4 linked regions of the Diceros bicornis minor genome follow. The protein of the gene in region 3 interacts with the protein of the main gene of each other region in a biochemical or structural test. Links are inferred from orthologs where the notes say so. Each region holds a gene or a part of one and is shown on either strand. Other genes may lie near its edges. The genes, in order: ADRB2, PDGFRB, NHERF1 and TBC1D10A.

Evidence for each region.
Region 1: the proteins of NHERF1 (region 3) and ADRB2 form a complex in vitro, tested with the Homo sapiens proteins (3 studies listed by BioGRID and IntAct, with this or other methods). The link is inferred for Diceros bicornis minor from reciprocal best matches to the Homo sapiens genes NHERF1 and ADRB2.
Region 2: the proteins of NHERF1 (region 3) and PDGFRB form a complex in vitro, tested with the Homo sapiens proteins (2 studies listed by BioGRID and IntAct, with this or other methods). The link is inferred for Diceros bicornis minor from reciprocal best matches to the Homo sapiens genes NHERF1 and PDGFRB.
Region 4: the proteins of NHERF1 (region 3) and TBC1D10A form a complex in vitro, tested with the Homo sapiens proteins (2 studies listed by BioGRID and IntAct). The link is inferred for Diceros bicornis minor from reciprocal best matches to the Homo sapiens genes NHERF1 and TBC1D10A.

What each region holds. Positions count from the first base shown.
Region 1 is NC_080740.1:66,047,434-66,055,000, forward strand, and holds the start of ADRB2 (beta-2 adrenergic receptor), read left to right. Parts: upstream 1-4,551; 5' UTR 4,552-4,777; coding exon 4,778-6,034; 3' UTR 6,035-7,567. UniProt on the Homo sapiens protein: Beta-adrenergic receptors mediate the catecholamine-induced activation of adenylate cyclase through the action of G proteins. The beta-2-adrenergic receptor binds epinephrine with an approximately 30-fold greater affinity than it does norepinephrine.
Region 2 is NC_080740.1:67,175,203-67,182,666, forward strand, and holds the start of PDGFRB (platelet-derived growth factor receptor beta), read right to left. Parts: upstream 3,005-7,464; 5' UTR 2,592-3,004; intron 1-2,591. UniProt on the Homo sapiens protein: Tyrosine-protein kinase that acts as a cell-surface receptor for homodimeric PDGFB and PDGFD and for heterodimers formed by PDGFA and PDGFB, and plays an essential role in the regulation of embryonic development, cell proliferation, survival, differentiation, chemotaxis and migration.
Region 3 is NC_080757.1:55,335,433-55,342,401, reverse strand, and holds the start of NHERF1 (Na(+)/H(+) exchange regulatory cofactor NHE-RF1), read right to left. Parts: upstream 3,012-6,969; 5' UTR 2,796-3,011; coding exon 2,379-2,795; intron 1-2,378. Other genes in the region: RAB37 (ras-related protein Rab-37), read right to left, coding at 5,595-5,700, 5,903-5,979, 6,057-6,113, 6,717-6,782. UniProt on the Homo sapiens protein: Scaffold protein that connects plasma membrane proteins with members of the ezrin/moesin/radixin family and thereby helps to link them to the actin cytoskeleton and to regulate their surface expression. Necessary for recycling of internalized ADRB2.
Region 4 is NC_080774.1:23,836,819-23,843,764, forward strand, and holds the start of TBC1D10A (TBC1 domain family member 10A), read right to left. Parts: upstream 3,018-6,946; 5' UTR 2,962-3,017; coding exon 2,753-2,961; intron 1-2,752.

The sequences.
Region 1 (7,567 bases), on a different chromosome or scaffold from region 3:
GATGACTTGTTGTAGGATTTTTCTAGGAATTGATGTGAAGTCTAGACATCAGCAAACCCAGGTATGAATAGAAGATACCTGCCACGATGCTAAAGGAGACTCTAGACCTAAGGGAATGAGGAATATTTAACCTGAAGAAGAGAAGGCTCAGGAGAACTTGAAGGGATTCTCCCAAAAGCTTAAGGACAGTCTTGGGGAAGAGGAGCTTTGCTTTGAGTGGCCTCAAGGGGGCAGACTTAAGATGCTTGGGTAGACACTTTAAGAACATGGATTTCAGTTCAATATCTGGATAGTTGGAGAAATATACACTGAAAAATGGAGCTGGCGAGCTTGCCTTCACTAAACATGGCTGTATAAGAGTTTTGGTGGCTGCATTGTGTAAGGAGCTGACTAGACTGTGAGATGTTTCATTCAGAACCACTAATATCCCATGCAGGAACATAACTCAATGATAATGGTAATATTCAGAATCATTCTTCTTTCTAAAGAACCAAGTTTTATTCCTTTTTTTCCTGTCAATTCAAATTAAAAATAAATTACTCATCATCCATGTTCAAAGTGTCCTTTCATACATGTGATCTAAGATAAATATGCATTCTACATATACATTTTGATTCAAAAATAAGATAACAAAAGTAATAGCTAACTTTAGGGGCCGGCCCGGTGGCGCAAGTGGTTAAGTGCGCGCGCTCCGCTGCGGCGGCCCGGGGTTCGCTGGTTCGGATCCCGGGCGCGCACCGACGCACTGCTTGGTAAGCCATGCTGTGGCGGCGTCCCATATAAAGTGGAGGAAGATAGGCACCGATGTTAGCCCAGGGCCGTCTTCCTCAGCAAAAAAAGAGGAGGATTGGCGGATGTTAGCTCAGGGCTGATCTCCTCACAAATAAAAAAAAAAAAAAAAAAAAAAAAGTAATAGCTAACTTTTCTCCAAGATAGCCTGTTAAGCACTTTACGTGCAATTAATCTTATTTAATGTTAATTTAACGAGATGATGCTGTACAGAGATAATATTAAAGACAGACATTTAAGACCATCATTTAGAAAGAAATCTACGGATGTTTCTCTGCTCAGAGGGTCATAAAGATGAAAGGAATCTTGTCTAAGCCAAGACCAGGATAAGATTTTCCTAAGCCACACAGCTACTGGTGCGAAGGCATCTCGTGGCACCACAGAGCCCTTAGTCCTATTCAAACATTGGTTCAGTAAATCAAAATGTGTTTTTTTTCCTGCTTGGCAGGCAGGAAACAACGAATCAGTGTCTTAACAGATTGACAAAATACGTAATTAGACACTATCAATCACCATAAAAGAGCCTGCTTTTTCTTACATCAGATAAAGGTGCATTTAGTCTACTAAGGACTTTCCAGTTTCATGAAGCATGAACTCCCTAAGGCCACAAATACAGTAAGCAGTGCTAGTCAAAGTCCTCTGCTAGGGAAAGAAACGAAAGAGTGGGCAGTGAAAACACGTGAGCCCAGGAGCAGACTTGGCTCCTAATTTTCCCTGCCCTCCTTGGACTGGATACTCGCTTCTACCCTTTAGTTTCCTCATTTGCAAACCGGAGGGAGAGGAATAAACTGAACGATCTACTATACTCTTTCCCGTTCTAGTTCTCTCTAATCCTATAGTTCTAAAAGGAGGTCAGGAGAAGACTCCTGGCGTGAAGACAGCATCTTGAAATTCCTACCAGCTTCATGATGCAGCAGAGATAGAGAGAGCTTGTCCATTTGGCAAGGCTGGTGAGCAGAGGCCTAGAACTTCCTCATTGACATAAGCAGTCTTCCCTTCTTGATTTAGTGTTTGTGTGTTTCTTAAAAGGTGTTTCCCCAAATATTAAAAGTTAAACTTTTGGGGCCGGCCAGGTGGCTCAAGCGGTTAGGTGTGTGCGCTCCGCTGCGGCCCGCGGTTTGCCGGTTCGGATCCCGGGCGCACACCGAGGCACCGCTTGTAGAGCCACGCTGTGGTGACGTCCCATATAAAGTAGAGGAAGATGGGTACGGATATTAGCTCAGGGCAAATCTTCCTCAGCAAAAAGAGGAGATTGGCATCAGATGTTAGCTCAGTGCTGATCTTCCTCACAAAAAAAAAAAAAAAGTTAAACTTTTAAGTGACTTACGTGCATACCTAAATGATCAATTAGTGTTTGTCCTAAAAGCATTTTCGTTCTTTTTCTTGTTATGGGAAGGTTAAACAATATGCTTGTTTATCCCATAGCTTCACAAACAGGAAGGAGGTTTTAAATGGCTCAGTTCCACGATTTGGGGTAGATGTATATTTAAAGAAACGTGTTGCATAACAGACACTCCTTCCTCCTAAAATGCATCATACCAGAGCCAATTTTGGAAAACACAAATATGGGGTAGTTATATTTTGAAAACTATGTGAACATAATAGAACCTTAATTAATATTTGTGGCTTTCTATGGGAAATATTTGTTTTGTAAGGCATCTGCCTTGCGAAAACAGTTTCTGCTAGTGAAGGAAGTTAAAAGGTGCATGTACGGTTAAATTTTGTTTCTGAGTTTTACTTCTAGAGTAACTGCCCAAGTTACTTCTGTCCTTTATTGTCCTGGTAGAGAAGACTAACAGCATATTCTAAACTACTAAGTAATTTACATAAAGTTCATTTATAACCCATATTTATGTCTCATTTATATGTGCCAAAGCACTTCTACATTTATTATTATATCATTTGATTCTCACTCAGCCTAATGGAAATGACTTTATTCCCCCTTTAGAGATGAATGAAATTAGGCCCCATCTTTGTCATTTGCCTAAGGAAAGTGAGCTAGAAAGTTCCGAGACAGGGGGATCTGCATCCTGGGTACTCCAATTCCAGTTGGAGTTCTTCCCAGTCCTCCATTCCTTTTTGTATATGATGATGCGGTACACTGAACAAATGAAAAGATGGGTTTTAGAGTCAGGTAGATCTGGGTTCACCTCCTGCCTCTGACCCTGTGCCCCTAGGCAAGATTTTTCCTCTTTGAGCTCCATTTGTGAATTAGGCTAAAAATAGTATCCCCTCTACCATGGGACAGTGGGAAGGATTAAATGGAACAATGCAGGAAGAGCACACAGCAGAATGTTCCATAAATGTTAACCATTGTTATGTTATTATGCAATCTACAAAGTATGTTTGGTTACACCACACGAATTACTTTCAGTTTTTCAAAGACACTACTAATACATGTGAAATCAAACCCTGAAAATTAATTTCTTTTTAACAGTGAAGTCATATGCCAGATGCCAAGGATAGTATTTCACCGGCAAAGATCCTAGTTTTAAGGCTTGGTCTGACTTTTGTTTTTTAAGGAGAAATTATCTTTTGCTTTCTGTGGTTTCCAAACAGTCGTAATGGCAACACATTCTTCATAGTCTGAGCCATATGAAAGTGACATTTTTTAAGTCAGAAACTGCCGATATGGCTCAACCAACAGATCAACAAACTACCCAGCAGATGAAAGGATTTTCCTACTTACAATGGGATTGCTGAAGTTGAGGTTGAAAGGAAAATTCTTCCATTTTCAATACATTTTCATTCCAACAGATAATGAGGGAATGATGCCACACTCACAAGAATTAAAAATTAAAGCATACAACTTTCTTTCTCTCGTCCAAAACACATACATGCACACCCAGCTCCAAATGAAATCCAAAGTGTGAAATTGTATGTCTCAATGCTTGCAAATTCCCAAGGAGGGCACCAAAAGTGCTTGATAGAGAGTGTGCTGAGGAAATCGGCAGCTGTTGAAGTCACCTCCTGTGGTCTTGCCAAATGTTTGAAAGGGTATATGCTGTGTGTCCGTATGTGTGGTGGAAGGGGGTGGGGAGGAGGTCGGGGGTGCAGGGGTGAGGGGTTTGGAGTACCTGGATGGGGACGTCCGTGTCGGTGGCGCTGTGCATGCCTCCAGAAGGAGCGTTTGTGTGTTGTTTACTTCTTTTTGTGTGTGAGCCCATGCCTTTGTGCTTCTGGGTGCCCCTGTGCTTGTTTCTGGCCGCGTATCTGTGTTGACAGGGGTGACTGTCGGTTTCTGTGCGCCCGCGCTCGTGTGCTCGTCGGTGCGCTGGACGGGTGTGTCTCAGCGTCGGTGGCTGTGGCTCCGTATAAGTCTGAGCATGTCTGTCGGGGTGCGTGTGTGCCTGTCCGTGCATGTCTCAGTGGGCACTCTGGTCTCTGTTTCCGAATGCGGGGGAGTGCCCGCGTGCTGCCCTCTGCTCTCAGACCTCGGGCCGCACAGGCCCCCACTGCAGACAGGTAGCAGCCACAGAAGAGCCAAAAGCTCTCGGGTTGGCTCGTAAGCGGGCCAGTTCGAGCTTCAGCCCTCCGGGACCAGCCAGGGTAGCCGGGAGGGAGTGGTGGCCCGCCCGTCCGCTGGGGAGCAGCCGAGCCCCGCCCGGGCCAGCGCCAGGAGTGGGTGGGAGAGGGAGGGGAGGGAAGGGGCGGAGGCCTCGCCCCTTTGGGGCTGCCGGCGCGCCATTGGCGGAAAGTTCCCGCACGTCACGGGGAGGGCAGCTCCCCTAAAGCCCTGTGCACATAACGGGCAGCGCACACTCCTAGGCGGCTTCTCCAGAGCGCAGGCTGAGACTGACAGGCACCGCGAGCCCAGAGCACCCCACAAGCTGAGTGCAGGACGCGCCGCAACCACACCCACCCCACGGCCGCTGAATGAGGCTTCTGGGCGTCAGCTCGCTGCCGGCAGCGCCCCGCCGGAGGTCCGCCCGCTGAGGCGCGGCCGGTGCGCTGGCAGCCAGTGCGCTCACCTGCCAGCCTGCGCGCCATGGGGCAACTCGGGAACGGCAGCGTCTTCTTGTTGACGCCCAACGGAAGCCACGCGCCGGACCAAGATGTCACGCAGGAACGGGACGAGGCGTGGCTGGTGGGCATGGCCATCGTCATGTCCCTTATCGTCCTGGCCATCGTGTTTGGAAACGTGCTGGTTATCACAGCCATCGCCAAGTTCGAGCGTCTGCAGACGGTCACCAACTACTTCATCATTTCCCTGGCCTGTGCTGACCTGGTCATGGGCCTGGCGGTGGTGCCTTTTGGGGCCAGCCATATCCTCATGAAAATGTGGACTTTTGGCAACTTCTGGTGCGAGTTTTGGACTTCCATTGATGTCTTGTGCGTCACGGCCAGCATTGAGACCCTGTGCGTGATCGCAGTGGATCGCTACGTTGCCATCACCTCACCCTTCAAGTACCAGAGCCTGCTGACCAAGAATAAGGCCCGAGTGGTCGTTTTGATGGTGTGGATTGTGTCAGGCCTTACCTCCTTCTTACCCATCCAGATGCACTGGTACCGGGCCACCCACAAGGAAGCCATCAACTGCTATGCCAAGGAGACTTGCTGTGACTTCTTCACGAACCAAGCCTATGCCATTGCCTCCTCCATCGTGTCCTTCTACTTGCCCCTGGTGGTCATGGTCTTTGTCTACTCCAGGGTCTTCCAGGTGGCCAAAAGACAGCTCCAGAAGATCGACAAATCTGAGGGCCGCTTCCATGCCCAAAACCTCAGCCAAGTGGAACAGGATGGGCGGAGCGGGCATGGACTTCGAAGGACCTCCAAGTTCTGCTTAAAGGAACACAAAGCACTCAAAACTTTAGGCATCATCATGGGCACTTTCACCCTGTGCTGGCTGCCCTTCTTCATCGTGAACATCGTGCATGTGATCCAGGATAACCTCATCCCTAAGGAAATTTACATCCTCCTAAACTGGGTGGGCTATGTCAACTCCGCCTTCAATCCCCTGATCTACTGCCGGAGCCCGGATTTCAGGATTGCCTTCCAGGAGCTTCTGTGCCTGCGCAGGTCTTCTGTGAAGGCCTATGGGAATGGCTACTCCAGCAACAGTGACGGCAGAAGTGACTATGCAGGGGAACAGAGTGGAGATCAGCTGGGTCAGGAGAGAGACAGCGAACTGCTGTTTGAGGACAACCCAGGCACAGAAGACTTTGTGAACCGTCAAGGTACTGTGGCTAACGATAGCGTTGATTCACAAGGGATGAATTGTAGTACCAATGACTCAGTGCTGTAATGCGGTTTTTCTACCTTTTAAGACCCCCCCTAACAAAACACTAAGCAGACTATTTAACTTGAGTGTAATAAATTTAGAATAAAGTTGTATAGAGATGTGCAGGAGGAAGGACATCCTTCTGCCTTTTTTTTTATTTTTTTAAGCTGTAAAAAAGAGAAAACATATTTGAGTGAGTATTTGTTTCTTGTACAGTTCAGTTCCTCTTTGCATGGAACTTGTAAGTTTATGTCTGAAGGGCTTCAGTCCCAGAGAACCTGGGGCTGCTATGTTGTGATGACTTTTCTGCATATCTACCTCATTGGTCAAGTATTAGGCGTAATATATTGCTGCTGGTAATTTGTATCTGAAGGAGTCTTTCCTTCCTGCACCCTTGGACTGGAGGATCTTGAGTATCTCGGACCTTTCAGCTGTGAACAAGGACTCTCCCCGCTCCTCTGATTTGCTCAAACAGGGTGTCATAGGCAGGGATTTGAGGGGCAGCTTCACTTGTTTTCCGGAGCAAAGTCTAAAGTTTACGGTAAATAAATTGTTTGACCATGACTTCATTGCACCTGTTTCTCCAAAACCCCTTGACTGGAGTGTGGTTCCTCCCCCACTGGAAACCGCAGGTAACTATTTGTAATAACTGCCCAGTGACTTAATATGGAATAACACAGGAATGACAAGCACTGATTGCTTAACCCTTTCATTTGCCTTTGAATCTGCAAACCTGTATCTCTCCTAACGCTAGGGCCCCAAATCAGTTCTGCCTGCCCCCAGCATAGCTTGTCTCACTTGTCCTACGGTTATTATTCTGTGTTGTCACATCAGAAACACTGACTCATAGAAATGGAGTTATGGACATCTGTTTTGTCCCTCCATGAACCCCACCACCCACCTTCCAGCTCTACTTGTTGGATAGCTGCTTATATTTATGTCTTTGCCATGTCTTAGAGTGGAGATCTTTGTACTACCTCAGGCTTTGGCATTTTAAGGATAAGGAAGAAGTTATTGTGAAAAAGCTACTCAAACAGAGCCCTGTAATTCCAAGGGAGAGTGAAAGGGCATTGGTCATACAGCGAAAGCTGGAAAATACTTAACTGAGGAATATCTCATGACCTAGAAACAGCATTATAAGCCCTCCTCCTTCTTTCCTTCTGTCCATTTCTTCCCTCTCCTTTTGACACTCCTCACTTCAGTATAAACCAATTTCTCAACCTTGGCACTATTAACATTTGGACCAGGTGATTCTCTGTGATGGGGGCTGTTTTGTGCATTGTCTGATGTTCAGCAGCATCCCTGGCCTCTACCCATTAGATGCCAGTAGCACCCTCTGAGTTGTGCCGACCAAAAATGTCTCCAGACATTACATTACCAAACACCTCTTGAGGGGTGAAATTGCCCCTGGTTGAGAACCACAGATATAAAGTTCAAAAATCTAAACAGATTTTTAGATCCTGTCTCATGTGACCATTTTATTTTGCAGAGCCTAAGAGAGGGATTTTTCAGGGTTCCTCTGGTTAGTGACAGATCCTGGGCCAATGCTCTCCCCGC
Region 2 (7,464 bases), on a different chromosome or scaffold from region 3:
CAGAGACTCCTCCTTCTGCCCAGAAGGCAGCTGGTCTCCGAGCCGGACAGTGCCTGGAGGACGGAAGTGGGCCTTTAGAATACCCATGCTGTCCAGGTCCCTTCCATGGGGATAGCCCTCTGCGGGTTGCAGACTAATTTCACAGCCAAGTTGTCCTGTGCAGGAGGCGGGGAGAGCAGCAGCCCTCTCATAGCCAATGGCATTAGGTCCAGCCCCGTGAAGCGCAGGAACTGTGTACCTTACCTATACTGTTACCTCCTGGAGCCTACATACCGCCCTGCTGCTCACAGAGGAGGGGACTGAACTCCAGAGTCACACAGTCAGCCAGAAGCCAAATGGGGTAAATCCATGGTCATCCGATGCCCAAACCTGGTGTTGTTTACCCATGGTGCCCACTGCCTTCCAGATGTAGACGCAGCCCAAAAAGAGGACACGGGGGCCTGAGGTTGGCCACACATGGATTTGAGCTGAGCCAGGGCGAGCGCCGGGTCTCCTGACTCTGAATCCACGGTGCTTTCCGCTGCCCCACATCTGTGGGCAATTACAAGTCGCAGCTCTTCTTCCCACAGAGGAGGGAGCGCTGCCTGATCACTGCTGAAGGGAGGGTGCTGACCAGATGGTCTCCTTCCCCACTCAGGACCAAACCAGGGCCCAGGTGGACCTGGGAGCAGGTCAGGCCTGGAGCTGAACTTTCCGCCATGGAAGGTGCTGGAGCCAGGAGCAGGCTCCATGGGAGGATGGAGACTCTCTCCCCTCTCACCAGGAGCTCCCTGGGTAGCGAGAGAGTTAAGTGTTTGGATTCAGGCAGATCGTGGCCTAAACACCAACTCTACTAACTGTGTGACCCTAGGAAATTCTCTTAGCCTCTCTCAGCCCCGGGTTCCTTGTCTGCCAAACAGGGGTAGTAATACCCATTCCAAAGACCTGCTGTGGGGATTACAGGGCCTGAGCCTGGCATGGGGTAAGCACTCAACGACGGTGACCAGCATGGTCCTCATGTCCCCGAGTGCTGTGGACTCAGGGCCCTCCTGCTTGTGGCTTTAGAAGAGCTCGCAGAGGCCTCTGTGCACTTTGGAATCACAGAGGCAGGCAGGGACACCCCTCCTTGTCTGACAGAGAAAAATGCAGTCTGGAGGAGCTGCATGATGTTCTGGAAGGGCACCTGAGGGAAGACAGGGGGCCTGGGCTCTGGTCTCATCTGGGAAGAGGAGGTCTTCAGTGAGTCCCTCCTCCCTTTCAACAGCACATTTTCTCAGCCCCACTGCCTGCCAGGGACACTGGGGACAGAATACAGGTGGGGAAGCCTGGGTCCTGAATGATCTCCGATGTGCAAAACAGAACACAAACAGGAAGAGAGGGCCAGGCAACAAGGCTCCAGTGCGAAGGGCACAGCAAGCACTTGGAAGACTGGAAGCATCTGAGAAGCTGCCTGGAGGAGGTGGAGAAGGGAGGGTCCTTGAAGAAAAAGTGGAAGTGATGAGGAAGGGCAGGCCCACAGGCAGGATCTTGCAAATTCCTTCTGGGAATCCTGGGATCTGACTGGCAGGAACACAGGGCCCAAGTTTGGAGTGATGGGGCACGGAGCTTACTATCTCCCCGAGCTCTGCCACTTACTAGCTACAGTTTTGTGGCCGCTGTGAGCTTCAGTTTCCTTGTGTGTAAAATCAGTCTCTGCCCCTGGAGTTGCTGGCCAGCGTTACATGAGATCATGCTTACAAAGCACTCCGCGCAGCCCTGGCAGGCAGTGAGTCTCAATCAGTGGCAGCCGCTGTTAGGGCTTTGGGCTTTCTACAGGGGAGAATCACGGAAGGAATCGTGATCAGATTCGTGTTTTAGGATGGAGAAGGGGCAGTGTCTGGCAGGAGGGAGAGAGAGAGGGGGCCTGAGCACTGCCTGGGACCAGAGGAAAGGGCCAGCAGCCGACCCCGCTGCTCCACAGAGGGGCCATCAGATTGATGGCCGGGCCCCAGACCCCCAGCCCCGGCTGCATGACCATAACTGCTAGGATGGGCCTGCCACCACCAGGGCCCCCTCTCCTTCACACTTTCCCAGCCGCTGGGGGTTTGAAGGACATCTTAGGAATCTGGAAAATTTGCAAATCTTTTAAATCCCCAGAGGTTGCCTGGCGGCCGACTGGCCCAGAGCCAGACAGATTCTTAGGGACAAGACTTGGGCCCATGGACAGGGGCTATGCCTCTGAGGTCCTGTCCCTTGGTAGGTCCCCGTTCTGTGTACGCTGCTTGCCATCTCCCAATTCCCTTCTCATACCCCTCCCAGCTCTCCCCACCTCCCGCAGGCAGTGCTGTGCTTTGGAGGCCCCCAGTCGACACCCGGAAACCTCTGGGGTTTGTTTGGTGAGGGCAGGGGGCAGCAAGGTTGAGGAGGCCGGGGCCACCCACCCCAGAAGCAGCCTGAGCAAGAGAGAGGAAAGAACTGGCTCCTCTAGCCCTGATGTCGCCCGCAGCCTCCCGGCCTCCTCCCATCTGGTTTTGTTAAAAGTATTTTCCATTTTTTGACCTATTCAAGAAGGCGCAGGCTGGGGCCAGGGGACAGGACAAGGGGTTGGGGTTCCCCACTCTCCCAGCACTTACCTTGCTGCTGATGCCTTCTGGTATGGGCACTGTCCTGGGCTCTGGGCTGTCACCCCCTCCAGGAAGTCCTCCTCACGGCCCTCTCCCTTTATCAGAAAGACTTTGCTGGACCCGAAAGGGGGCCGCAGCTGGGTAGGAGGGCAGGGAAGGCCGCTGCAGGCTCCCGGAGCCTCAGGAAAATGGAGGGAGTGGGGGGCTACAGGGGTAAGGAGTGGCCTCACTCCCAAAGCATCCTTCGGGAGGAGCAGGGCTGCCAGGAGGGGCCGCCCTGGGTCTGGCTGTCTGTGTCGCAGGGCGAAGGCTGCTGCCGGGCGCTGGTCAGAGGGGCCTGGCCCTCTCCTGGTCCTCCTCCTCCTCCTCCCTGGCTCCAAGTTGCTCACAGAGCAATCCTGGGTCCCAGACGGGGCGGGCAGGGACTGCGGCCGCTGGCAGCCCCAGGAGCTCACACCACTGTGGGCTTCCCTGCCCCCCCACCTTGGGGGAAAGGCTGAAGGATGGCCTCTGATTGGCTCAGCTGGGAGAAGGGGGGCGGTGGGGCGGGGAGGTTGGACGCGTGCGTCTGTTTTCAATTTCAGTTTTTTCCCCCCTCTTTCTTTTCCCCAAGTTTCTTGTTTTTCTTCCTCTTTTCCCTCTGCTTGCTCCCTCCCATCGCTGCTCCTTCAGGATGTGAGGGGATGTTTAGAAATTCCGCGGCCCACGCCAGCCGCTGAGTCACTTTTATTAAAGAGTGGCCCGGCCCCACTCGCCTGATGCCTGTCTCGGGTGGCAGCCTCCCCTTGCCATGGCACCTGGGGGCGAGTCCTTTCTGTGTGCCTCAGTTTCCCCATCTACAAAGGGAGCTCTGATAAGCTATACGGCTGATTCAGTCAACACTCATTCATTGAACAAGCATGTCGATCGCCTACGATGTGCCAGACACTGCGCTGAGTGATGGGGACACAGTAGTAAGTAAGACACAGTCCCTGACCTCAGGGGTGCCCAGGCTAGTGAAAGAGACAGACAATGGACAGTTGGGTACCCCAAGGGAGGGCAGGGGGGCTCAGAGCGCATCTGGAGGGGCACCTAACTGAGGCTGGAGGGAATCAGAAAGGGCACCTGAGAAGAGGTGACTTGGAAGAGACGGAAAGACCTTCCAAGATGATCGGTCACTTCTCAGAAGAAGAAACCAAGGCCAAGGGGTGACTTGGTGCAGAGAGGGAAAGAGACTTGCCCAAGGTCACCCAGCACACTTCAGATTCCAGACATATTCCTTTCTGTCATCTCAAAGCCCTGGAGTAGGGCTGTGGTTACTTCCCCATTTATATATCGATGAGGAATGTGAAGCCCAGCAGAGTGAAATGAGCTCGCACAGCAATGGCAGAACTCGAGCAGAATCAGGTCCCACGAGTTACATGATGGAACAGACACGGGGACCTGACCCACACTGCAGTGTAGACTGGCACTCCTGTCCTACCTTCTACCTAGGTTATCCCTGTCCCCGTTTCTCATTCAGTCACTCAACAGATATTTTCGAGTACCTGTTATGTTCCACTTCCAGCCTCCGGGCCTCCTCCCCACTAGGGGCTGCAAGGCTCTTCCAGGACGTCGGCGGGGCCTCTCGTGACCTGGCTTCTTCTACCCTCGTTTCCTCAGATCAGAAGCTGTCTCTAGTCACAATCTCCTGGCCCTTAGATGCGAAGGCCATCATTATAAAAGGGCTTAGGAAGTTGACTAAAAGGGCTTAGGCAGTCACCTCCTGCCCCCACTACTGCACACATGGGGAAATTGAGTCCCAGAGAGGGGGAGAAAGGTGTCCCGGGTCACACAGGTAGAGCGTGACTCTGTCCAGGGCTCCTTCTGTCCTGCCCTCTGCACCTCTGTCTATCCCTTCTCCCAGGCCTCACCCTGGGCTCCTGTTCATGGGGCGGGGGCTTTGCTTGAGCTGGGATTTCATGCCACCCACAGGAACCTATCTGGTGGTCATTTCTTGGTCTTGTCCCAGTGGGGACTGCCCAGCAGAGCATCTGGCCTGGGCCACACAGAGGGAGAAGGGTTCTCAGACTGGCTCCAGGCCATGGGGTGGGGGCCGTGAGAGCCTCCCAAGAGAGGGGGCCTGGCCCAGCTTGGTGGCAGCTGGGTCAGAGGGGAATACAGGGGGACTCCAGAGACCACAGGGTCAGGCCTGCACAGGGATTTCTTGTGCCCAGAGACTCCATCAGTCTGTACAACTCCCCTTCTAGCATTTGCCTCAGCCGTTTACCTCCAAAGCCTTGGCCCAACTGCAGGGACCAGGACAACTCAGGGGAAGCAAGGCGGCATCTCAACCCGCAGCCCCAAGAAAGCTAGGCCGGGAGTCAGGAACCCCAGCTGTGGACTTGTTGGTTGGTCTTGGATAGGTATCTTGTCCTCTCTGAGCCTCAGTTTCCCCATCTGTACATAACAGGGGTGGACTCACTGAGCTGGAAGGCGCTCGGGATGCTCTGTCTACAAGTTCCTTAGAGTTGGACTCTGGCTAGGGAGAGGAGGCTGGTGGGCCCCAGGGCAAGGGGACAGCTGGGGGCCAGAGATGCAGCACAGAGGGGAGGGGGCGGCTGCCGGTGGCTCCCCCGGGAAGCCGGCGGCCGCCAGTTTCCGGCCAGCCCAGCCGTCCGGCTGGCCCATCTGGAATCACTTAGCCCCTACCACCATTAACCCTTGGCAGGCAGCAGGGCTGTTAAGGCTCTTCTCAGCTGAGATGGGGTTGGGGGACACAGAGCCACGTGAGACACCACAGGGCACTCCCCGAGGGCTGGACAGTTGAGGCGGAAGTGTCACGATTGACAGGGCAGGTTCCAGAGCCAGAGACAGAGCTGGGTTCAAATGCTAGCTTCTGCAGTTTCAAGCTGCATGATCTTGGGCAAGTCACTTGAACTCCTGAGCCTCAGTTTCCTCTTCTGGAAAATGGAGATAATTTGAGGAATGACTCGAAAGACTGTTGTGATTTGTAATGCACTTAAAGGGCTTAGTACAGTGTCTGGAAGTGTTATTATTGAAATAGTGATTTTCTCTCATACCAGCTGCAACCCGTCACTGTGTGCCCCTGGGCTGAGCTCTCCCTTCTCTGGACCTCAGTTTCCCCTGTGCACTCTGAAGGGGTGGGCAGTGGGCAGTGCATGTGGACAGTGCAGCCCCGTCAGGCTGGCATGGTCAGCATGGCCCCCAGCCCACTGTGGACAGGATGAGCCGTGAGCAGTCTCCCACCTGGCCAGATGCTGGGAGCCCAGGCCAGCCTCGGACACACCTGTCTTGGGGGAGGCTAGGCTGAGATTGGACAGGCAGAGCGTGGAGCATGGGGAGTCCTGCCTGAGGTAGAGTGGGGTGGGGTGCAGAGGGAGAGAGCAGCTCTGGGCAGTGGGGTTCAGCACTTCCCCTCCCCACTGCGTGGTGGCCTGCTCAAGGATTAAGAGTCTGAGCTTTGATGTCAGCACTTCCAACCCAGCTCTGCCACTTCCCAGCTGTGTGACCCTGGACAGATTACATTATCCGAGCTCAAAGAGCCTCGGTGTTTTCAGCTGTAAAATGGGGATACAGCCGCCTCCTTCACAGAGTTGTTTGGAGAGGCCCAAATAAGTGATGCACAGGAGGTGTTTTGTACAAGGACTAGAGCAGAGCGAGACAGCTCCAAGAAAGGTGACTGATTCTTAGGTGTCACCGGGCGCTGCTGTCACAGAAGTTCACCATCAGGACTGGAGGGAAGATCCTCCGACAGCTCATTTTACAGCTGAGATGACTGAGGCCCTGTGATGGAATGTGACTGTACCAGGCTTTGTGACATGTAAGACCAGGACTGGAACGGAGGCTTTGTCCAGACTCTTAGGCCCGTGTTCTTCCCTGGAGGAGGGAACCAGGCTGAACTGCCCCCCTCCACAGACCCCCACCCACGCTCAGCTCATCAGAGCCTAGCTGAGCCGGAAGCCACAGCTCTCAGTGGGGCGGGGGAGGGGGTCCGGAAAGGGCGCCTGAGTAGGAGAATTCCCAGTAGGCTGGCTCAGCACTCATTCAGGCAGGGCCAGCGGCTACCACATCTGGCTCTCCCACGCTCCCAGCGCTGCCTCGCCTCCCCCCCGCCCGGCCTGGGGCGACGAAGCAACACACACGTCCCAGGCATCGGCACAGTCATCTTGGATGTCAGGGCCAGATGAGTCCTAGGAGTGAGTCCATTGTACAGGCACAGAAACTGAGGCTCAGAGAGCAGAGAAGACCTGTCAGAGGTTAGCAGAGAGAGAAAGGGCCTGGAATGCAGGACTCCTGACCCCCAGCTCAGTGTCCTTCCACTCTGCGCACCCTGAGCAGGTAGGACCTTGTGCCTGCATCTGGGGAGCCAGAAGGGGCCTGCAGTGGGAACTGCCCCTTCCCCTCCTGGACATTCAGCATGGTGGCTGTCTGGTTGGGCAGAGGGACCAGTGGGGGCTTCGGGCCACATTCTCACTCTAGATTGCAGGACTGCTTTTACTGGGCCAGACCGAGGCCACCAAGGCCTGACAAGGTCGCAGGAGATAAGGGCTTCAAGACCCTGCCCGCCTCAGCCCCTCCCCAGCCTCCAGCTGGCCTCAGTCTCAGTGCCCCAGGGAACAAGGGTGTGTCCTTCTGGTACACACAGATGGCTCAAGGGTCATCAGAACAGCAGGGCCCCCAGAGGCCACGTATCTTCTCCTCACTGGACACAGTGGGTCCCAGAGAAGGCCAGAACCTGCTTGAGGGCACACAGTAGGTCTGGAAAGGGGCCTTTAACTTTGACTCCCAGGCTGTCCTGCTCCTCCCACCATGTAGCCACCACACAGAAGTTAACTAAGCACCTACTATGTGCCCTGGCCTCATACAGCTCACAAGCAAACACCAAGGAAACCACAAATTA
Region 3 (6,969 bases):
GTGTGCAGAGCTGGCAGTGCCCCTCCACATCCTCCCAGACCAGTACTACAGGTACCCTCACCCTCTGCCCTTATCATTCTCCACTGGGCTGTTCTTCCCAATGATATGTCACCGCCACCCATTCTCTGCATGCACTTTTCCACTTAACATCTTTTTCACTTATGAGAACTAATGAAGATACCATAACAGCCTCTACTTTGCATACAAATTCAGGCTAAAACTAACTAGTAAAACTCAAATGCTTTATACAAGAGATGTCTTTTAGGAAAAAAAAAATAACTCTTAGGATGTTTATTAACATTTTTTTGCAGTGATGGAGTGGGTCACCTGCATGACCACCATACCAGATTTAACTGGAATATCCTACTAGAGGGTCTTAACAGTGCTGATAGGCTTTGTATAAGGCCAAAGGAGTCCTTGCACAGAGCTGGGATTCCAGTGCTTGGGCATAAAGGAACTCAATTCAGCATCCACCAGGGGCTCGAGTACTTCTCATACTTGTAAAATTCTAGAGAAAGCAGGTACCACTGTAATCCAATGCTCCCATTTTACAGATGGAAGAACCAAGGCTCAGAGAAGTTCTGTGACTTGCTTGTTGACCATAAACCCAAGAGGCCTGGTGATGGTGTTCCCGGGACTGGCTGGAGGCGGTTCTGCTCCCTTCTCCTGGCCTAGCAAAGTACACACGAATGCAGGTGTCACACCACCATCTGGGGGGATCTGATTTTGTGCTCCAGGGGTGGAAGCACTGCTGCCTTTTCAAATGGTGTGGCGGGAGCTTGTGCGCTAGGTCAAACCTCCAGTCTGGCCTCTCCCCTAGCACCCCTCCCCACACACCCAGCAGCAAAACCAAAAGGGCAATGGGAGGAGTTGAACATAACTGCGACTTAGGGGGGGTGCGTTACTTGTGCGAGTGCCAAAGTCCAAATGAAAAAAAACAAACAGGGAATGGCAAATTGATGCACTCAGCACAAAGCTCAAACTGGACTTCTGCCTGGGACGAGAGGTCATAGGTTCTAACTCCCTGGTGTCAAACCCCTGCCAGGGGTGCTCCGACCCCTCCCCCATCCTTGCCAATGCCAGCCTGGCAGCGGCAGGAAGTGGGAGCCGGGCAGCCCTGTCATTGCCGGCACCCATCTCTGGCTGGACAAGGCTCCTGGTGACCTCACTTCACCAAACCAATTGGTCCTCTCAGGCTCCACCTTCTACCTTAAGGTTGAACTGTGCCCTTTCTCTGTCCAGGGAGGCTCCTGCTGGCACTAAGGACACCCCTGCCACATGCTGCCACCAGGTGGAGAGCTGGTGCAAGCCAAACCCGCCTGGGGAGGCCTCCCCCCTCCACTCTCTGGGAACAGGAGGCTCAGCACAGCTCCTGTTTGCCACTGCCCCTCGGGCAGCTGATCCAAACTGGGATCGTTTGTGCAAACACCAAACATGGGCAAAAAGCAACCAGCCTGCTTGCCGTCCAGGGACTGGAGTGAGACAGATGATGCCAGGACAGGACCACCTGCCCATGGTGAGCCCCGCTGGCCGCTGGAGGGTAGAGTACCACGGGACCACTCCCACCTCTCCCTCTCCCCAGCCATTTCTTTTCCTCCAAGGTCCTCCCTCCGCTCCCAGATACAAGGTAGCGCTTACTCCTCACATTCCTGAGAATCATAAATCCTCCTGGGTGGTGGAGCCGCCACCACTCCAAGGCCTCTGCACCTCTTCTCCGCACCCCAGCCCCCAACACGCTGCCCTGAGACGGTGGGGCTTCCTCTTCTTTCCTAGAAGTCACCCGACCGACTTCAGGAGGAGGATGAAGTCCAGCCGGCCTGAAGTTAATGATATACACACCAGCGGGCTGGGGGGAAGGGAGAACCCTGTCTGCGATCCCTCCCCTCCCAGCGCCGGGGCTCCGCACAGAAAAGGCGGTTGTTATTCCTCTAGCTCTTTGAAGTCGGAGCCGCGCTCGCTTCACTCCAGCTTCCGTTACCACCCACAGGGGCCGTGGAGGAAGCTGGCACCTCTGGGGCGGTGAGGGCGAGATTGCGTGGTTCCGAGGAACGGGAGCAGACCCCACCAACAGAACCCAGAAAAGGGGACCGGGCTCCCTCACCTCCCTACCAAAGACCAAGGGTCAAGAGGTGTAGGTGGTAAAGGCGCTCAGGGTCCCAGCCCTGTCTGGGAAGGGGAGTGGGGGTCGCGGGACGCAGCCCCAAGCCTGCAACCGCCAGTGCGCCCAGTCGGCGGGCGGAAGCAGTCCCTCCCTCGAGGATCGGGTTTCAGAAAGACAAGGCGGGAGCAGGGTTGGGAGTCCCGGGCGCCTGGGTCTCTCCCCGATCCCCCCTCCAACTTCGTTCCAGCCTCGCCGCTCGGCCCGGGCCCGCACTTACCCGCTCCGGCGGGCTCTTCTCGGCCTCGCGCGGCGCCTCCGCGGCGGCCGGCGGCTCAGCCTGCCCGGGCCCTTCCTGGGCGCGCAGCAGCTCCTCCCGGACCTGGACGCCCAGCTGCTGCAGCCGTTCGTCCGTCTCAGGGTCGACCACCAGCAGGCGCACGGCATTGAGCGCGGCGCGGATACGGCTCACCACCTGCTGGTGGGTCTCCTTCTCCACGTTCTCGCCGTTTACCTCCACCAGCCGGTCTCCGGCCAGGAGCCCCGCCTTCTCGGCCGGCGAGCCGGGCTCCACCAGCCGGATGAACTGGCCCATCTTGCCCTTCTCCCCGTGCAGGTGGAAGCCGTAGCCGTTCGGACCCTTCTCCAGGCAGCAGAGCCGGGGCAGGGGCGGCCCGGCCGCCGCGTCCGCGCTCATCTCGCCGTGGGACGACTCAGCAGCGCGCCGCGGGGTCGGGTCGGGGTCCGGAGATGGGACGGTCCAGCCCTTCTCCCCGCCCTGCGGACCAGGGGGCGGGAGAGAGCGCGGCAGAGAATTCCCGCACCGCCGGACAGGCCGAGCGAGCAGGTGTCCCAAGAGAGGCTGCCACGAGCAGCAAGGAGCCAAGCCAGGAGCGCGCGGACCAATCCCCGCCCCGCGCGGCGTCTGAGCGTTCTAGAACCCGCCCAGGTCCCTTACCCCGGAGGCGGGGCCGCGCTGAGGGTGTGGGCCACCGCGGGCCAATCAGAGACCAAGAACAGGGGGCGCTCGGGCCGGGTGAAGGACGCCGGCCAATGGGAACGCGCAGGGGCGGGGCCGTGCGCTCGGCGCGGTGCCCCGCGGCGGGAGAAGAAAGAGGGCTCAGGAAGTGGAAGTGTTTGTTTCCAAGTGGCCGGAGTTGAGGCGGGGGGCGGGGCGAGTTCCCGGTACCGGGCGGAGGGGCCCGCAGGCTCTGTTCTGGTTTCCCCCACCTGTGGCGGGGATTGAGGAGAGCCAACCCTCGAGTAAAGGACGCTAACGTTTTAACAGCCTTTAGCCAAAACCTTGTGTGCAGCTCCAATTGAGGGGGGGAGGGGGCGACTGTTGCCGGGGAAACCGCTCCCGCTCCGGGGCTGCGAGGTCCCAGCGGTGTGAGGAGTAAGACGGAGGTCCACTTCGGACCCAGCAGAGTTGTCTGAATAACGATATTTTCCCATTTGCGGAGTCACTTTGCACTGTCCCAGGACCTGCTTATAGGAGTGCGGGCTCTGATCCTGGTTGGGACAGTGCGAGGGTCTCAGCAGAGAGCCCAGGCTTTGCGCGGCTGCCCACCGAAAAAGGCCACCTAGGTAGGGCAATGGCGTGGGCATTGGCGTCAGCGTTCGGCTAGGGAGGTGGGGTGGAGAGAGGCAGAACAGAGTCAGGTAATCATCTCTGGGTATAGTCTCCAGGGCAAGGAGACCTGGCTTTTTTCAATAGAGAAAGAATGATTAGGACCGTAAGATAAACCTTTCAGTTCCTTCTTGCAGATGAGAGGCTGGTCACAGAGGCTGAGGGGTGGTCTGTAAAGGATGAGGTGACCAGTTGGGGACATTGAAGGATGAGGATCAAGTGATTTTGGCTGTCAATGACAGTTCCCCCAGCATGCAATAACAATCCTTTCAACATGACTCCCGCCCCATGGGCACCTCAAAGAAGCAGGGGACAGTGTGTACTTTCCAAAATACTGCAGTTTAATTCTGGAAAACACAAATGCTGGAGGCCCAGTACAGCCTACATGATTGGATCGCCTGTGACCTGCCTTGGGCCCCAGAAGAGCCGGCAAGGTCAGGCTCCTCCCTGCTCTGCTCGGGAGAGCTTCCTTATCTGGCCCAAGTTGGAGCTGCTGACTCTGCTCAGAGAGCAAGATTTCTGCCGTGGAAGCAAGTGCAGTAGCCTCAGAAATGTGCAGTGCATGCCTCTTTCTATCCCTCTCCCCCGCCCCTGACTTGGAGAGCTGGAGCAAAGGTGTCTCTCCCCACCCATGGCCCAGAGAGCTGGAGTAAGGTGCTTTAGGTCATGACCTTCATGTACCCTGGCCCTTCTGATTGCTGGGGTAAGGGCTTTGGGAGAGTTGTGACCTTCGCTCCCGTAACTCCTTGCCGCCCCTTCCCTACCCCAGTCTTACCCACATGACCTTATTTTGCACACATTGCATTGGTTTACCAGAATTGGATGACCTCTCACTCTCTAACCTGGCTTAGTAGAAAGGGAGATAGAGCAGTTTTGAGTCTGCGTCTGTCTGGGAAAAAATGGGCGTGGGTGTCAGGGAGGAGGCAGCGCTTGGGTTTAGGGGCATACATGTAGGGCAAGGTTTACTCAATTCTGCCTCCCACCTGCTCCAGGTGGTTTCTCTTTATCTGGTTTTTTCCCAGTAGAAGCACTACAGCTGCTTGAAGTAGCCTGGGGGCTGCATACCTGCTAAAGGGTTGGGACAGAAGAACCACCTTTCCCTAGCTGGGACCTTAGGTGTGTAGGGGCACAGCCAGAAAGGTAGATAAGACCAGGGATTCATGGAGGAGGGGCTTCCCTGGGATCTGAGGTCTGGGGAACAGGAACCAAATGTTTCCAGGTGCCCCAGTGTGCTTGTGGGCTGGAGGGAAAGGGTACACCTCCTGGAGGGGCGTTAGTAGGGCCAGAGGTAGCCAAACAGACCTAATCTCTGCTACTCCTCTCTCCCCCTCCCAGGGAGCAGAGTCCCTGCCCAATCTCCATATCTCCTATCTTCCCTGAGGTTTTGGTCTAGCTCCCAGCACAAGGGCCCTGTCTTAGTGGGGAAGATTGTTCCCTGGGAAGCTGGAGGACATGAAGCCTCTCTCCAGCTGAAGTGAGAGTGGGAAGGGGGTCACTGAAGTGCATCAGTGTCCCCTGGTGCTGAGCTGAGCAATACTGCCCTCATTGTGGCTAGGAGGTAGGCCCCGACCCCTCAGTCCTAGCACTAGAAGGCAAAAGGGCCACCAGGTCCTTACCTGGGCTTTCTGGTGCCTTTTTTTGTATTAAATTGTGTATCATTAAAATGAAATATAAATATTTTACCCTCCCTGGAGATGCAGGGAAGTCCAGGAAGTAGGTAGTACAGCTCCCTCTTGGGAAGGAAGGCCTGTGCACTGGGTCCCCCAGTTCTCTCCCCACTGGCTTAGCTGCTCAGAGTAAGCCAGGTCTGGGGGAGAAGGCTGCATCCTCGTGGGCCTCTGGAGCCTCCTCTCAGCCCCTTGGGAGTCACAAGAAGGAGCAGCAGCCAGGCCGCTTCTTCTGGGACTCCACATAGTCTCGGATCTGGAAGCTGGGTTCATCGGCCTGCTGCCTGGCTCTGTGTTTCAGCTCCCTGGAAGAAGAAGAAACAACGGGCTGGGTACGGACTGAGGAGCTGAGCATCCTCCCCACTCCTATGGCCCGGGGCAAATGGACCTCAGACTGCAGAAGGCAGTTGGGCCCAGGGGCTGGCGGGGGAGGGGGGCCAGGCCATACTGGATTCCCAGATGGTGCCACCCTGCCCCGCACGGTTCCCTTCCCTGCTCAGCTCTCACTTGGCAATGGCCAGAAAGGCTAACTCCACATTCATGCCTGTCTTGGCACTGGTCTCCATGAAGGGAACTCCATACTCCTGCCAGAGAGAGAGTGTCTTCAGGGCTAGCCTGTGGCTGCCCCCACCCCTCACCCTGCCCACAGGCAGTCACTTACCCTGGCCAGCGTCTCTCCGTCCTCCGAACGGATCACTCGTTCATTGTTCACATCCGCCTGTCAAGCCCAGGTGGGTCACTCTGGGGAAGGAAGCCTTGACCCCAGCTGGCCCTGCCCCTGCCTGGCCTATTCTTTGCCCCAGGAGCAGGCACTACCCGCCCTCTGCTGGTGGCCTGCAGGACTGCAGGTGGCACGATGGGCATGGGGCCAGGGTTTCTGGGTTGGTCAGGCTGAGTTACCAGCTCCCAGCCCTGGGATCTCACTCCTCCTGGGGGAGGTGGGTAACTCTCCTTGGTACGGGTGTGGTGAGCCAGCCTCAAAGGGGTGGCAGTAGTTGGGGCTAACCCTTTCCAGTCTTAGCTCCTCATCCGTGACCCTCATCACGACCATCTAATAAGGGCTGAGCAGCTGGGCAACCGTGGGTCTCTCAGGTACTAGCTTGAGCTTTCCCTGCAGGGGACCGTTTCCAAAGCTTTAAGAGGGCAGGTGACATGGGCTGAAGCTGCCAAATAGGTCTGACTCCTGAACTAGAGACTGAAAGAGTCCTTTGCTGGAAGAATGTCCAGCTAACACTCTTGGGTGGCTATGGGGCTGGTAGAGCTAATGCTGTGGCAGTGGGAGAGGAGAGGGGTGGGCTGACCCTGCCGTGGAGCCACTCACCTTGTTGCCTAGCAGCATGATCACCACATCCCTCTGGGCATACTCATGGATCTCAGTGAGCCAGGCCTGTGGGAGAGGGTGGGCTGAGCCAGGCTGAGGCTGAGCACCAGCCATTCTCCCCTTCCCTCTGGCCCTTCCTTCTTCTATTTGATTATCCTGCTCACTGACCCCAAACACGATGCCCTGTGCATTGTCTCATCTGCATCTTTGTTCTGGCCTCTCCAGTCCTGAGTGGCCCCAAACCCCATGTGTT
Region 4 (6,946 bases), on a different chromosome or scaffold from region 3:
GATAGCACATGGACTCCTAGCCCTCAACCACGAGACTGGGTTCAGGACGGTCACCCTGAAACTTCCCATAACTTCCTCTCTTATAGCCTTGAGCAGGGACTTACTTGTGGCTTTTTTGGAACCACAATGTAAACTAAGCAGGGAACATTCAAGCTTTCAGACACCAGAGATTTTAGGTTGACCAACGGAGTCAACAAAGTAAGGCAGGGAGAGATCCCACCTCAGCCCCAGCCCTACAGACACCAGTGATGCAGAGGGCGTCTACAAAGCCCGGGTTTGCAGTTGAAGACAGATGTCTGGCTGCCTGGTTGGGGACTACAGCCAAAGGGAGGTGCTCCCACTGAGGCCTCTCTCTGTCCACAAATACCAGACGTATGCCCTCATTTTTCTCCTCAATTCTCAGACCCTTAGAAGGAAAAGAAAGGAAACTAATAATATTTTCTGTGCCACTACTTGTGCCAGGCACTGTGCTAGGCACCTCTGCATACCTGATCTCATTTAATCCCCATAGTAATCTTGGAAGTAGAGTTACTGTTGTGCTTTACAGTGAGTAAATAGGCTCAGAGATTCAGGATCTTGCCCAAGGTCTCACAGCCAGCAAGTGTGATTTCTTCCTAAATCTGGTCTTTTTCCACTATATCACACTACTCTATTCACCGAGTTCTGGTTAACTGCCTGAGAAGCATGTAGTATGAATTCTCATCTCCTAGAACTCACCAGCAAATCTGAGCTCTTCCTTCCAAGAACCCATAAATGCAACTGGGAACTTTTTTTTTTTTTTTTGGTGAGGAGATCAGCCCTGTGCTAACATCTGCCAATCCTCCTCTTTTTTTGCTGAGGAAGACTGGCCCCGGGCTAACATCCGTGCCCATCCTCCTCCACTTTATATGGGACACCGCCACAGCATAGCTTGCTAAGCAGTGCGTCAGTGTACGCCTGGGATCCGAACCAGCGAACCCCAGGCCACCGCAGCAGAGCACGCACACTTAACGGCTTGTGCCACCAGGCCGGCCCCAACAACTGGGAACTTTTTCCCTCTTCTCAAGACCCGTTCCTTCCCAGGGCCCTGATCCCTGGTGACTGCTCCTCAACTCAAAAATATACCCTAAGTCCTCTTTGGGTTCTCACAAGCTAATACCTGGCGAACTGTGACAAAGCATCAAGTCAGGGTGAGGGATCAGAATATGGGGTACTCTCCAGAGTCCTGGACTGGACTAGGCTTAGCCTGCGCCTGCTGTGAGCAAGTGGGGAGACGCTGGAGGAGACAGATCCAGTGGGTAGGACAGAACTCTTCTTGGGGGGGGCCTACATTTCTCTAAAGGAGAAGGAGGCCTGGAGAATATGAGGCTTTGGGACTGGGGAAAATCCCGGAAGTGACCTTTATGGGGCTGACTTTTGTGTGGGGTGGGGTTTTTACAGATGGTCAAGGCACTTCCATAAGTCATAAGAGAGGCTGGAGGAGCCTTGGGCAGTCACAACAGGTCAGAGAAGGGGAGGAAGGACCCTCTGAAGTAGGGTCATGGCTGAGTCCTGCGGGCCCCCACAAGCTATAGTGTGGGGCTGTCTCTGTTGAAGGGGAGGCACATCATGAGGGAGGCTTGTGAGTTCTGTGCAGAACACTGGTCTCATGTGACAGGACAGCTGGGATGGGAGTGGGGTTTGGAGTCTATCTTTCTTCAGGGGACTGCCAGCCCCTACACACGACCTCTGTGAGGATTGGGCTCAGGGGGTTCTGTGGGGCAGCATGGCTGCCCAGTTTACCCAGCTTGGAGGGGAGGTGCTGCTCTCCCGCCTCACATTTCTCTGCCCGCCAGCTGGGTGCCTGGGGACTCTAGGGGTGGGGGATCTCGGTGAGCTATGAGCAGGGACCCTACTGTCTCCCTGCCTGCCCCCTAGTCTGTATTTCAAGAGGAAGGGCTTGTTTCCACAGCATACATGGAGACAGCCAAGAGTCTGGCCTGTGAGTGAGGCACTGTCACCCCGTGGGTACTCGGAAGGGGGAGTGTCTGCCCACCTGTTGCCACTGACAGGGAGAAATCTGCTTCTGAGGGGAGGAGGGGAGCACTCTCCGACCCTTCCTTGAGGGGAAGGGGCTGTCCGTCCCGGGGTGGGGGTGGCTGTCAGTCCATCCAGAGGTCTGTGTGCCTTGAGGTAAGGGCTGTGAGTCCTGGAGTGGGGTGGGGGCAGGGCAGTCTATCTCTTGAAGTCTGCCTAAGGTGTCCCCCCGCGTGGGGGTAGTGAGACAAGGGGTCTGTGGGTCTTGTGGGGAGGTGGCGGATGGAGGATGTCGGTCTGTGGGGGAGGGGCAGCCATCTGTGAGCCTGTGGGGGGGGGGCAAAGTCAATCAGCCTGAAGGCCGCGGTGGCAGCAGGAGGGTTGGGACAGGTGTCTGCCGTTCTGTCCCGTAGTTGGGAGGAGGACACTGGAGGCCCTTCCTGGGGGCAGGTCAGACTGCCTGGGGGTGGGGGGCAAGGGGAAGATACCCCACCCTCCCGTCTGTCCGTCCCTGCCTGTCTGTGCCCAGGTCGGAAGTAGGCTCGCGGGTGAGGGGCGGGTCGGTCTGCCTGGGCGGAGCGGGAGGGGGAGGGGGAGGGGGGAGGGGGGAGGGGGGAGGGGGGGGAGGGGGTGGGTGGGGCCGGGGAGAGAAGGAGTCGGCCGTCCCCGGTTGGGAGGGGGGCTCTGTCCGCGTCGAGGCACCCCCGCGGGTCCCGCGCCCGGCCTAGCCCCCGGCCCGAGCCCCTGCGCCACTCACGCGCCCTCGGCGCCCTGAGAGCCCACGATGAAGCCGAACTTGTCGATGCGGCGCTCTGCGAAGCCGTTGGCCTCTGAGTCGGAGCCGAGAGAGCTGAGCTCGTCGGCGGCTGCGGTGTCGGGGCCCGGGGCCAGGTTCTCCCGGGTCCCCGACAGGCTCCCCCCGGCCGTGGGCGCGCGCGGCCCGTTCTCTCCGCGGCTCTTCGCCATCCCGGCCGCGCCCGCCGCCTCAGCCTCAGCGGCCACCTCAGCCACCTCAGCCTCCTCAGCCGCCCCGCCGCCGCCGACGCCGCCGGCGCCCCGCCCACGCGCCGCGCCCATTGGCCGCCGCCAGGCCGGGGGCGGGGCCCTAGGCCCTCCCCGGGAGCGCTCCCCCCACGCCCAATAGGCGCCGCGGACCCCAGGGCCCGCCCCCCCCCCCCCCCCCCCGCGGCTGGCGCCAACCGGCCCGACGTGAGGGGGCGGGGCACCCGTCACCCAGAACCCTCCTCCGCGGGCTGCCAATGACACGAGCTCACCTGAATGAGCTCTTTGGGCCTTTCCGGGTCGGCCCCAGCCTGGCCTGTCACCTGCCTCGCAGTGCAGGCAGAGGCCGAGGGCCTCAGCTGGGGATTCCGCATCCGCCTCCTAAGGCCTCCCTCCTCGCGAGACCCCAGGGACGTGGGTGGGGATTGTTTCACCCATTCATTTTTGAAGGACTCTGAGGACTGCCCCAGGGACACTCAGCTGCTTAAAGACCCAGGCTGAGCTAGAAGTTCCGCAGCCTCCTCCGCCTGCTCACTACTTCTGGGGCTTTAAATTAGCTTACGGGAACCTAATTAATAAGAATGACCAACAGCTCATGAAGCCACTCACTGCCCCAAGTTCTGCGTACTTTCTCTTGTAATCTTTTTTTCCAACAGCTTTATTGAGATATAATTAACATACCATAAAAATCACCCGTTTAAAGTGTATAATTCAATGGTTTTAAGCATATTTATAGAGTTGTGCAACCATCACCACAATCTAATTTTAGAACATTTTCATGGCCCCAAAAAGAAATTCCTATCCATTAGCAGTCACTCCGCATCCTTCCTCCCCTAGTCCCTGGCAACAACTAATCTGCTTTTTTGTCTCTATAGATTTGCCTTTTCTGGACATTTCATATAAACGGAATCATACAATATGTGGCCTTTCACTTAGCATAATGTTTTCAAGGTTCATCCATGTTGTAGCATGTTATCAGTACTGTACTTCATCCCTCTTTATGGCTGAATAATATTCCACTGTGGATATACCACGTTTTGTTTATCCATTCTTCAGTGATCGTCATTTGGGTTATTTCCACTTTGGGGCCATCATGAATAAAGCTGCTATGAACATTTGGGTACAAGCTTTTGTGTGGACATATATTTCCGTTTCTCTTGGGTAAATACTTAGAAGTGGGAATTGCTGAGTTATATGGTAACTCTGTTTAACTTTCCAGGAACTGGCAAGCTGTTTTCAAAATTGGTCACACTGTCTCCTGTAATCTTTGAGCAACAGGGTAGATACTATTATTAGTCCCATTTTACACTTAAGGAAACTGAGATGCAGGGAAATAAAGTCAGCTGCCTAAGGTCCCAGAACTAGCTTGTGGCAGAGCCATGATTTGAACCTAGCTCTTAGCAACAGCTTATATTGGGAGGCATGGACCAATTGTATTTATACACACTTAGCTCCCAGCAGCCTACTTCTGACCCCAGGGATTGTCAACTTTCGGAGCCATAATGATAGCTCCTCAATTAAGTCCAGTACTTTATAGTTTACAAGTCACAATCATGCTGTCATCTGACACTCCTCTATAGACCTCTGGGGGAGATAGGCCCAGAGCAGGGAAGGGACTGGAAGAGCCAGGCTTGAGCTACAGGGCTTGGGGCAGACCGCTAAGGGGCCCGAGGCAAGCCCCAAGAGGGGAAGTCTTATGCCTTGAGTGATTTCACCAGCCGTTTCCTTGATGCCACGTGGCCCAGACATTCTTGAAGACTTCACTGTGCAGTCTTCACATTCCATAGGCTTCTGGTTTTCCATAAAGAGGCCAATAGCAGACATGGGAGTGGGCACAGGCTATTTTGGTCTTAAACTCTCAGTCTGAGAGGACGCTTCTCCATTCCTCCCCTCCAGTGGCTCCAGACAGAGTGGTGGGCTCTTAGTCCCAGCTCTCAGGAGGGGCAGAGCGGGCCTCGCATGGGAGTGTGGGCCTATCCCACAGAAGGAAGAGAGAGGAGCCAGACACACCTGGAGCAGATGTGAAGCCCCAAGCCTGGCGAAGTATCAATAACCCTTTGACTCTATAATTCTGGTCCTAGGGTCACATCCCAAACACATTCAGCTCTGTAAAGGCACATGAACAGTGATGTTCACCCCAGGACTAGGCGTGAGGAGTAGGTTAGAGGCAGCCAAGTGTCCATCTTTGGGAGACGGGATAGATGTTTCTCAAGTTTAGGCCTTGATGCCCCAGCTTCTAATTTTCTTACATAAGACCACCCAGGATTCAAATCTCTGCTCGTCACTGTATGACCTTGAGCAAATCACTTTTCTGAGTCCATTTCCTCATCTGCAAAATGGAAATACTTAAAAAATGCCTCCTTGGAAGAGTTGTTCTGAAACTTGAATGTGATAATATGTGCTAAGCATTTGGCACATGGAGATACCCAGTAAATGGAAGCCAGGAGTGGTAGTACTTGTAGTTTGCAAAGCACTCGCAAATTCATTATTGTCTTGTATTTCCCTTCACAGCCTGTGGCTGCAGCAGGGGAGTTTACCTAATTTAACCAATGGCACATGGCTTGGGAGACTTTGCTTCATGGCTGTGCCCCTCAATAACTGGATGTTCTGTGCAAAACTGCTTCACCTCTCAGAATCTGTCTCCTGTTCTGAAGAATAGGAATATCAACAATTACTTGGTGAAGAGTCAGTGAGCTATGTTGCTGAAGCCTCCACCACATAGTGGACAATAAATGTTATGTTTCTTCAAACTCCAGAGCTTTGTTTTTGTTTTTTTGGGTGAGGAAGATTAGCCCTGAGCTAACATCTGTTGCCAATCCTCCTCTTTTTGCTGAGGAAGATTGGCCCTGGGCTAACATCTATGTCCATCTTCCTCTACTTTTTTATATGTGGGACGCCTGCCACAGCATGGCTTGATTAGTGGTGTGTAGGTCCACGTCCGGGATATGAACCTGCGAACCCCAGGCCGCCAAAGGGGAGCGCCTGAACTTAACCACTATGCCACCAGGCCAGCCCTGGGGCTCTTTAATAACTTATTTGATATTACTCTAGTGGACAAGATAGATGAAGTCCTGGCCCAATAGTTTATATTCCAGTGGAGGAGGAAGGACATGAACAAGCTCAGAACATTTGTCAGGTAGTGTGAAAATGAAAATGAAGCAGAGTAAGGTAGAGGGAATGCTGTGGGTGGGGGGAATAGATGGAAATGAGGAACCCTCTCTGTGGGGATCCGGGAGAACAGTGACGGCATGGCAAGGCAGGGCATGCAGGTGCAAAGCCCTTGAAAGAGAAGCAGGCTCAGAAGATGGTGTGGTTAGACTGGAGTGAGAAAGCAGGAGGAGGAGTGAATGAATGAATGATCCAAAGGAATGCCCTGCAGAATCACGTGGTTCGCTGGAGTACAAAATAAGAGACCTTTGGCAACACTGTGAAACATCCTGGTAGACTGGCTGCTGTAGATGTTCTTTTGAGGATGAGATGCTAGGCCAGGGTTACAGGAAGGTGTTGATGACCTGTAGTCTCATCCTACTGGGGTCAGTCCTGCAACTTTAGCCCGAGGCACTCACACAGGTCCCCGTGCAGTCCCCTCTCCTGGATCCTGGAAATGTGCAGCTTGCATGTGCTCAGGAAATCTGTCAGTACTGGCCACAAGCAGATGTCCAGATGTCACAGCCTTTATTCGTAATGAGAGCAGAGCTGAGTTTCAGAAGGTAGACAGCTAATGCCCAGCAGCCTACGAAGAACAGGCAAACTATAAATCTTCTTTATCCCTACACTGAGGATAACAGTTAAGAATCTTTTGGTCCAAGTGGCAGAGAACACAACTCAAATAGGCTTAACCCAAAACTGCATTCAGTGGGTCCCATAACTAAAAAAATCCATAGGTAAATAAGCTTCAGGAGCAGTTTGATCCAGAGATTGTCACCAGGGGTATCAGCCTCATTTTCCT